Macaca fascicularis: one gene and its partners. The protein of the gene in region 1 purifies or fractionates together with the protein of each later gene. This does not show direct contact. Links are inferred from orthologs where the notes say so. Each region holds a gene or a part of one and is shown in the gene's direction. Other genes may lie near its edges.

Region 1 (2,312 bases):
AAAATTTGTGGGGACAGATGGAGTCTCACTATGTTGCCCAGGCTAGTGTCAAACTCCTGGGCTCAAGCAGTCCTCCCAAAGCAGTGGGATTTACAGGCATGAGCCACTGCGGTCAGCCCGATGCTTGGCATTTAAATGCCCACAGTCCAGCAGCAAGTGGTGAAGAATGGTGGTAATTCCAGTGATTTGAGTAGCTGAGCCATTCTATTATTATTAAGGAATTTTGGATAAAACATCATTTCACTCTCTTAGAGAAAGTTATCATCTGTTGTCCTTACAGTCAGGTAGTGGCAGTTACGGGATAAGTGTTTCTTTTTGAAAATGATCAAACTGAGACATATTTTGTGGATTCTGCAGTCACATGTGACTTAAGAACCAAACCTTTTATCTGAAAACAAAATGAAGCCACAAAACCCAGACCTTTTGATAAGATAGCATAAAACCTTCTCATGTTACTTTTAATCTCATGGGATCAGTTAGGCTATAGATTTTTGGTGGTTATTTCTTTACCAGTCAATTTATTTTTCTGTCTATTCTCTAGAATAATAAATTTGTTGAAATACCCTTTGCTCCCCCTTGTCTGCTCTTACATCTTTCCAGTTGTAGCTTCCTGTTGTACCACCACACCCCAACTCCTTACCTCGTCTCTTTGGCAGTGTTGACTTCCCTCTGTCATAGGTCATAGCCCGGATCACCCTATAATCGTCTCTTTGCCTGTTTACCTATTAGACTGTGACATCCTGGAGGGCAGGGGTTACATCTTTTTTTTTTTGAGACGGAGTCTCACTCTGTCACCAGGCTGGAGTGCATCTCGGCTCACTGCAACCTCCGACTTCCTGGTTCGAGTGGTTCTCCTGCCTCAGCCTCCTGAGTAGGTGGGATTACAGGCATGTGCCACCATGCCCAGCTAAGTTTTGTATTTTTAGTAGAGATGGAGTTTCACTGTCTTGGCCAGGATGGTCTTGATCTCTTGACCTCGTGATCCGCCCGCCTCGGCCTCCCAAAGGGCTGGGATCACAGGTGTGACTCACTGTGCCCGGCCACATTGTTTATTTTTAGTAGAGATGGGGTTTCGCCATGTTTGCCAGGCTGGTCTCGAATTCCTGACCTCAAGCGATCAGAGGTTACAACTTTTAACACCGTATCCTCATTGTGCCCCTAAGTATTCCAAACCTAGGATTTCAGTTTATTGTTCTTTACACCCTAACTCTATCCTTTACCCCATGCCTAGTACATGGTAGGTACTCTAAATAAACGTTTGCTAATTGAAAGAATGTTGCCTTAATCCTAAAACGTTTATACTTTCAGACCCGTAAGAAACAGAAGGAAGATGTGGAAGTTGTAGGAGGCAGTGATGGAGAAGGAGCCATTGGGCTCAGCAGTGATCCCAAGAGCCGGGAACAAATGATCAATGATCGGATTGGTTATAAACCCCAACCCAAGCCCAATAATCGTTCATCTCAATTTGGAAGTCTTGAATTTTAGAGATGGATTATCTTGCATGCCAGAGCGCTGGAATGGAATAAAATGATGGCAGAAGTACAAACCAGATTTAGAGAATTGAGTGCTTGCAGTCAAGCAGAATGTACCTCCTGCAGAGACAAATCCTTCTGCATGAGATTACTGATGCTTCACTTGCACGCTAAGCCGGAATCCAAACTGTGGTTTGTCTCTGGAAAATCTGACTCTATAAAACTGATCTGAGTTTTTGTTTTTAAAAATAAATATATTTTTGGAAAAATGTGAGGCATCCTTAATGAAGTATAACAGCACTGTTAACCCTCAGGCTTTAAAAGATAATTGCTACAAGATTAACATCATTCTTTCCATCTTTATTAAAAGACCCTAAGCACAGGACACTCTAGTTGATCCCTGCCACTTTCATTTAACCCATCTATTCAACAAGTATTTATTGAGTGCCTACCATGTGCCACTCAACAAAGATCCCTGCCCTTGTAGAAATTAAAATCTAGTGATATTGTGTAAATCTGAAGAAATTGTAAGTACCAGATCTCTTTACAGAATGGCTTTGTAACTAGTTTGGGTACAATGTTCGGAAGACAGACAATGGAGGGAAATAAGAGGAATGCTTCTAAACAGTTTTGCCATTATTCCAACTTTCCTTCCTTTCTCAACTTGCCTAAGCATTTTTCCCAGAAAGAACCAGCGAGGCAGCTCAGAGGATAATTTTGAATGTTGCCCTAATGTTTTGGAGTTAAATTTTTTTTTTTTAATTTTTATTGTTTTACGTAGAGGCAGGGATCTATGTTGCCCAAGGTGGGCTTGAGCTGCTGGCATTCAACAGTCCTCCC
Region 2 (3,755 bases), on another chromosome or scaffold:
TTTAATACACTTAACCATCCAGAAAAAAAAAAGCCCCTAAGTACTTTCAGAGGTGCTAGAAATTCACACAAAACAATCAGTTCCAGTTGCCTGTCAAAGCAGTAAATTAATAACAACTTAACCAATATGGTTCTCAGACCAATATACTGCTGAGGGGAGGAATCCAGTTTCTACAGGCCACTGCCCAACAAAATGCACATCACTCACTGAGAAGCCAAGCTTCTGGTCACACCACTTAATGGATCCATAATTTAGGAAACAAAGGTTCCTTATAGGCTAGCTGAAGTTAAATTCAGCCAGTATTCCTACCACGTACAGCTTAGTCTTGAAGCCCAAAATACTGAAGAGTTCCAAAGAAAACAAGTTGATCCTTACTAAATACACTAACGCTCAAGCCAACGTGGACGCGGTGGCTCACGTCTGTAATCCCAGCACTTTGGGAGGCCGAGGTGGGTGGATCATCTGAGGTCAGGAGTTCAACACCAGCCTGGCCAAGATGGTGAAACCCGTCTCTACTGAAAATACAAAAAGTAGCCGGGCTTGGTGGCGGGCGCCTGTAATCCCAGCTACTCGGAAGGCTGATGTGGCACGAGAATCGCTTAAGCCTGAGAGGCGGAGGTTGCAGTGAGCTGAGATCGCGCCACTGCACTCCAGCCTGGGTGACAGAGCGAGACTTCGTCTCAAAAAAATAAATAAAATAAAATAATAATTGATTATTTGTGTGCTTACAGGACCAAGAAGAGGTTTTGTGAGAAATAACAACATAGAAGGTAAACCGACATGGATAGAGGAAAAGAGCACATCATTAGCAATAGTCGATGACATCACAACCCAGTGGTCTATTCCCTGAGGCCTCTAAAGTTCTCAATGAAAAAACACTTTCAAGGCGAAAGCTAAAAAAAAAAAAAGTTCCCCACAAAAGCAGACTAAGGTGAAAGTCGGGCCCTCAGAACAAGAGCTCCGGAAAAACAGGTAGTCGTCGCGGAGACAGCAAACGCAGCATCTACCTGTCCTACATGGCCCTGCGCTACGAGACTGCTCGGAAGGAAAGGCGGGAATAACCAACTTAACCCTGCTTCGAGGTGGTTTGGAGAGGAAGAGGAAAGCCGTGTCTTTCTGCAATATCGTGAGGGAAGCCGAGACCCCGAATCATCAAAGAGAAGGAGCAGAAGAGGACTAGGCGGCTGCAGGTAAACCAAGGTACGGCGAGGAGGCAAAGGAACCGGAATTCCTCTCCACGAGCGCGTTCTCGGCTCCCCTCCTCGCGTCTCCGCCCCGGCCACGCCCACCACGGCACGGGCGCGCGCACGCCGCCTTCGCCGCAGGCCCCTCCGTGGAGGCGCGAGCACGCCGCCGTCCTCGTCGTGGTGAGCGTGACCGCTCCGGCTGGTCCTGGGGGCGGGGCTGTAGGGGAAAGTGCTAAAGCCGCTGAGGTAAGAGGCCGAGGGCTGAAGGGCCCTGGGGAGCTTGGTGAAAAGGGAGTTAACCCTTAGGATCCTACCTGCAGGGACTAGAAAAATGGAGAAGGTAGGAGGAGAAACAGGAGACTGCTGTAGCAGACGTGCGACAGGAAATTTTCCCAGGCCGGGTTTGACTGAGTGCGCATGCGGGCCAAGGGGTGGCGCCTGCGCAGTGGGACAGCGCCGATGGCGTCGTTTCCTGTGGACCCAGCTGGGTGGGAAATGTGGCTAGGAGTTAGCTTGGGAGCCGCTGGTGTTCTGACCGCTCCCCTCTCTGGCCACTCTCTCTCCACGCCCACCCCACCCCCGGTTACAGCTGCGGCGTCTGTTTGGTTTGGGTTGTAATCCAGCTGTTTTGAAGTGGAACGATTTTTTGATGATGGAATTTAATGATTGCTTGTAATGATTTGCCTTTGTACTAGGGTAGGAACTTTTAAGGAATTACTCTTTTTAAGAAAATAGGCATATGTCTGTTAGAAAGGAAAGGAATTTATATTCATAAAACTATGAAGGCCGGGCGCGGTGGCCCACGCCTGTAATCCCAGCACTTTGGGAGGCCGAGGCTGGCGGATCACGAGGTCAGGAGATCGAGGCCATACTGGCTAACACGGGGTTTCACCGTGTTAAATACAAAACAAAATTAGCTGGGCGTGGTGGCAGGCGCCTGTAGTCCCAGCTACTGGGGAGGCTGAGGCAGGAGAATGGCGTGAACCCGGGAGGCGGAGCTGGCAGTGAGCCGAGATTGTGCCACTGCATTCTGGCCTGGGCGACAGAGGGAGACTCCGTCTCAAAAAAAAAAAAACTATGAATGCGAGGTCATCCCTGCCGTACATGAAGTAAATGTTTAAGCATCTTAGCTCGGACACAGCAATCTGTCCACAAAGCATCGTTACTCTCCTGTGAGGATCTCCACTGTCAGCCCCAACTTCCCTGACAGGGCCAAATCCCAGGATACTTCATCAGTATTTGTTCAACAGAACATTACTGAGCACCTCCGGTGGGCCTCTCAGACTAGTTGAAAATAGAGTTGTGCGAATAGATCTGCACAATGAGAAAAAAAATCCGTAATGAACCAATACTGATGACACCACGCTTGTCTATCTCCTGCATAACCTTTGCTGAGCCCTGCGTTCTGTCATTTGTTCTTCATTCATTCATCCGAAATGCTCAGGAAGCACTGTGGAAACACTGTGACCCAGGTTCTGTGCTCGGCATTGAGGGTAGAAAGACTTCGAAGGTGGCAGGATGTTTCTTAAGATCATGAACCTTAAAATGAAAGTGTAGGCCGGGCGCAGTGGCTCACACCTGTAATCCCAGCACTTTGGGAGGCCGAGGCGGGCCTGATCACGAGGTCGGGAGATCAAGATTTTCCTGGCTAACATGGTGAAACCCCGTTTCTACTTAAAAAAAATACAAAAAATTAGCCGGGAGTGGTGGCGGGCGCCTGTAGTCCCAGCAACTCGGGAGGCTGAGACGGGAGAATGGCGTGAACCCGGGAAGCAGAGCTTGCTGTGAGCCGAGATCGCACCACTGCACTCCAGCCTGGAGTGCTTAATAGAAGCACTTAATAGAGCGAGACTCCGTCTCAAAAAAAATAAATAAATAAAAATGAAAGTGTAAAGTGCTTAATAGAAGGTATTGGCCCTCCTCCTGAGCAGATTCTTTCCCCTCTGGGAGCTTGCTAACTCTGTTAGATGGAGAGAATTAAGACTTTTTCCATGAATTTTTTTCATAGTAAGTATGAAAAACTGGGATCTGCATAGGAAAAAACACTCAGGAGTAACTCTCCGTTAATGATTTTGAACAGCCAAGATTTATGAAGTGTTTACTAAGCCTGTAACCATTCCAAGTGTTTTACGTGTATTAATTAATCTTTGTCACACCTGTGTGAGGTAGGTGATGTTATTACAGGTTGAGTATCCTTAATCTAGAAATCCAAAATCCTCCAAAATTTAAAACTTGAGCACTGACGGGATGGTCAAAGGAAGTGCTTTTTGGAGCATTTTGAATTTTAGATTTTCGGATTTGGGAGGCTTAATCGTTACGTATAATGCAAATATCCCAAAACCTGGGAAAAAATCCGAAATCCAAAATACCTCCAGTCCCAAGCATTTGGGATGAAGGGTACTCAACCTGTTTCCCGTTTTGCAGATAAGACAACCAAGGAACAAAAAGATCCCGAAGTGGGAGGCGGACGCGGAGGTTGCGGTGAGCCAAGATCGTGCCGTTGCACTCCAGCCTGGGCAACAAGAGCGAAACTCCATCTCAAAAAAAAAAAAAAAAAAAAAAAAAAAC
Region 3 (3,755 bases), on another chromosome or scaffold:
GCTGGGTAAGCTGGGAAAGTTGGTTTGTGTGGGTGCCTAACAAAGAATCTGTGTTCAATGAAGTATTGTCAATAGGGTGAATTATGTGTTTGGCACACATAAACGGGACAAGATGTGTAAAGTGCTTGGTCAGAGAGCGACTGTATTTCTTCTTCTTTTTTTTTTTTTTTTGGAGACTGGGTCTCACTGTGTCACTCAGGCTGGAGTGCAGTGGCGCAATCTCTGCTCACTGTAACCTCTGCCTCCCGGGTTCAAGCAGTTCCTCATGACTCAGCCACCCAAGAAGCTGGGATTACAGACATGCACCCCCATGCTCGGTTAATTTTTTTTTTCTTCATTTTTAGTAGAGACGGGGTTTCGCCATGTTGGCCAGGCTGGTCTTGAACTCTTGGCCTCAAGCAATCCCAATCCGCCTGCCTCGGCCTCCCAAAGTGCTAGGATTATAGGCGTGAGCCACTGCGCCCGGCCTAATTTTCGTATTTTCAGTAGAGACGAGGTTTGCTATATTGCCCAGGCTGGTCTGAACTCCTGGGCTCAAGCGTTCCACCCACCTCGGCTTCCCAAAGTGCTAGGGTTACGGGCGAGGGTGAGTCACGGCGCCCAGTCTAATTTCTAATTTGTATTCAGCTCTCAGCGTGTCCTCAACGTGACCCCACCCAGGTTCAGGGTACTGGAACCTGAGCGAGGAAGGCGTGTTCCGGGGAGAGTAGGTAGTGTGAGGGGCCAGAGTGCAAAGGTCAGAAGGCATTTGGTGGAAGCTGTGTGCAAAGAAGCCTGAGGGGAGGTCCTTCGATCTCGGTTACCTTGGCGATCTCTACCAGAGGGTTAGAGTTGCCAAGAGGCGCCTGCTGCCGCTTCCTTTCTCCCGCCCTCCCTTTGGTTTAGCTCCGCCCCCTGCTCCCACAGGTTAAAAGCAGACGCCGACGCGGCTGCCTAGTGACACTTTTCCCAAGATGCCTAGGGTATTGTTGTGTTCTTCTTAGCCAATCAGAGAGGCGAAGCGGGCCCACCGCCTGCCAATAGACTGCGAGATCAGGGCCCGCGACAGTTAAACGGGGCCGAAGGCAAGGGTGACTGGTTAGCGCTGCTCGGGGGCTTCTCCGTGCTGGTCCCTGAAGCTCCCGGTCCCGGTCCCTGGAGCTCCGCATTTGGGGGCGCAACCTGCGTGAGGCAGCGCGACTCTGGCGACTGGCCGGCCATGCCGTCCCGGGCTGAGGACTATGAAGTGTTATACACCATTGGCACAGGCTCCTATGGCCGCTGCCAGAAGATCCGGAGGAAGAGTGACGGCAAGGTGAGCGTGGTCCCTTCCCTGTGCCAGCCCCTGCTTAGGGGCGAGCGCCCTGCGCCACCGAAGGGAACCGAGAGGGCTGGTGAAGTGGGTGCCCGGAAGACTCAGCCGTCTTTACTGAGTCTGCATCTGACAGCCTGTCCTGGGTCGCTTAAAGGATGGGAGACCGCGTCTTTTGATATATGTATTTCCATCTTTTCCCGTTTCTCTCCCCATTTCTCTCTTCTGTTTTGGGTTGCTAAGGACCTTCCATTGGTGACACGTAGCTAACTCCTGAGCTGTTTTTAGAGCTCTAAGAGTGGCCCTCTCAGACACAAGAAAGGGGCAGGACCACCAGAACCCGAAGCTTTGTATCTGCAGTCAGACTCCCTCAAAATACCCATTATTCGGATTATTGGATTCATATTTCCCAATGTATACAGGTAGACCTTTTACAGAAAGTAATATTGGACAGGAAACTGCCTGGCTGCTTTTCCAAGGTGTCTCATCCTGGGAAAACACGACTGAGGTGGAATGGGGCAGGGACTTTGACCACCTCCACCCCAATTTTGACTAAAGTACCTTTTTGCCAACTTCCCACTAACCAACTGAGGGTAGGGGTTGGGGGAGACCTCATGTGCCTTATTCCCCTTTATCTCCCTACAACATCATTTACTGCTTAGAAATTGAAAGAAGATTATGGAAGTAAACTCACAGTTCTTTAAGTTCATTGAACTAAATTAGATAATGACCTTGATTGTAGGATATAATTAAAAGGAAGGTTATTTTTTAAATCTTGGAACTTTCATTCTTTGTTTTTGAGCGTAATGAGTTCATTCATACCTTGGAAATTCTTATTTTAGATATTAGTTTGGAAAGAACTTGACTATGGCTCCATGACAGAAACTGAGAAACAGATGCTTGTTTCTGAAGTGAATTTGCTTCGTGAACTGAAACATCCAAACATCGTTCGTTACTATGATCGAATTATTGACCGGACCAACACAACACTGTACATTGTAATGGAATATTGTGAAGGAGGGGATCTGGCTAGTGTGATTACAAAGGGAACCAAGGAAAGGTAAGCATAATCTTTTAAAAATGTAAGCTGAAATTAGGTCTACTTTCATTTATTTTAAGCATCTTGTTTTAGGATCAGTAATATGGAAGAGTATACTTGCATTTGTTTGGTAGGTCCATAGTACTTTAGAAAATTCCCGGTGAATCAACACCCATATTTTATATCAAAATAACAATCTATAGGCTGAGTGTGGTGGCTCACACCTGTCATCCCAACACTTTGGAAGGCCGATGCAGGAGGATCACTTGAGCCCAGGATTTCAAGATCAGCCTGGGCAACATAGTAGGACCCTGTTTCTACAAGAATTAGCCAGGTATGGTGACATGTGCCTGTAGTCTAAGCTACTTGGGAGGCTGAGGCAAGAGGATTGCTTGAGCCTGGGAGGTCGAGGCTGCAGTGAGCCATGATCGTGCCACTGCATTCCAGCCAGGGTGACAGAGCAAGGCTCTGTCTCAAAAAATATAAATAAATAAATAAATAATTTATTTCCCTATTAGTACACTGGATAATTTATATCATCCCATCTTGGCAACGATTTTTTTTTTTTTTTAGAAGTTATATGCTGTATAACTGCTTTGGTTTCAGGCAATACTTAGATGAAGAGTTTGTTCTTCGAGTGATGACTCAGTTGACTCTGGCCCTGAAGGAATGCCACAGACGAAGCGATGGTGGTCATACTGTATTGCATCGGGATCTGAAACCAGCCAATGTTTTCCTGGATGGCAAGCAAAACGTCAAGCTTGGAGACTTTGGGCTAGCTAGAATATTAAACCACGACACGAGTTTTGCAAAAACATTTGTTGGCACACCTTATTACATGTCTCCTGTAAGTATTTCAGAATTTAGATACTTTTTAAAACATCTTTTATTTTTGTTTTTTTGTTTGTTTTTGAGACAGAGTCTCGCTCTGTTGCCCAGGCTGGAGTGGAGTGGTACGATCTCGGCTCACTGCAACCTCTGCCTCCTGGGTTCAAAGGATTCTCTTGCATCAGCCTCCCGAGTAGAGTAGCTGGGACGACAGGTGCATGTCACCATGCCCGGCTAATTTTTGTATGTTTAGTAGAGACAGGGTTTCATCATGTTGGCCAGGCTGGTCTCAAACTCCTGACCTCAAGCAATCTGCCCACTTCAGCCTCCCAAATTGTTGGGATTATAGGCGTGAGCCACCGCTCCCAGCCAAAACATCTTTTAATGTTAAGCATTCTGAAGCAGGGAAATTGAGTTTTCTGTTTGTTTAAGAATTGAAAATACTGTTATATTTTTCCACATGGACCACCAGACCAATAAAGTCTATGAGTTTTTGTTTGCTTCATGAATTATGTGTAATAATGTAAGTATGATGAAGACAGATTCCTACTCTAAGGTTTGCTACTGTTTGTCATCTCTCAGTGGGTTCAATTTTTT

Evidence for each region.
Region 2: the proteins of CDC26 (region 1) and ANAPC16 purify together in Homo sapiens (co-immunoprecipitation; 5 studies listed by BioGRID and IntAct, with this or other methods). This does not show direct contact. The link is inferred for Macaca fascicularis from reciprocal best matches to the Homo sapiens genes CDC26 and ANAPC16.
Region 3: the proteins of CDC26 (region 1) and NEK2 purify together in Homo sapiens (affinity purification with mass spectrometry; 3 studies listed by BioGRID and IntAct, with this or other methods). This does not show direct contact. The link is inferred for Macaca fascicularis from reciprocal best matches to the Homo sapiens genes CDC26 and NEK2.

The regions. Positions count from the first base shown.
Region 1 is NC_088389.1:44,830,738-44,833,049, forward strand, and holds the end of CDC26 (anaphase-promoting complex subunit CDC26), read left to right. Parts: intron 1-1,308; coding exon 1,309-1,485; 3' UTR 1,486-1,741; downstream 1,742-2,312. UniProt on the Homo sapiens protein: Component of the anaphase promoting complex/cyclosome (APC/C), a cell cycle-regulated E3 ubiquitin ligase that controls progression through mitosis and the G1 phase of the cell cycle.
Region 2 is NC_088383.1:74,200,280-74,204,034, reverse strand, and holds the start of ANAPC16 (anaphase-promoting complex subunit 16), read left to right. Parts: upstream 1-1,312; 5' UTR 1,313-1,367; exon of another isoform or gene 1,368-1,592; intron 1,593-3,611; exon of another isoform or gene 3,612-3,755. UniProt on the Homo sapiens protein: Component of the anaphase promoting complex/cyclosome (APC/C), a cell cycle-regulated E3 ubiquitin ligase that controls progression through mitosis and the G1 phase of the cell cycle.
Region 3 is NC_088375.1:69,486,132-69,489,886, reverse strand, and holds the start of NEK2 (serine/threonine-protein kinase Nek2), read left to right. Parts: upstream 1-1,050; 5' UTR 1,051-1,198; coding exon 1,199-1,294; intron 1,295-2,133; coding exon 2,134-2,351; intron 2,352-2,936; coding exon 2,937-3,177; intron 3,178-3,755. UniProt on the Homo sapiens protein: Protein kinase which is involved in the control of centrosome separation and bipolar spindle formation in mitotic cells and chromatin condensation in meiotic cells.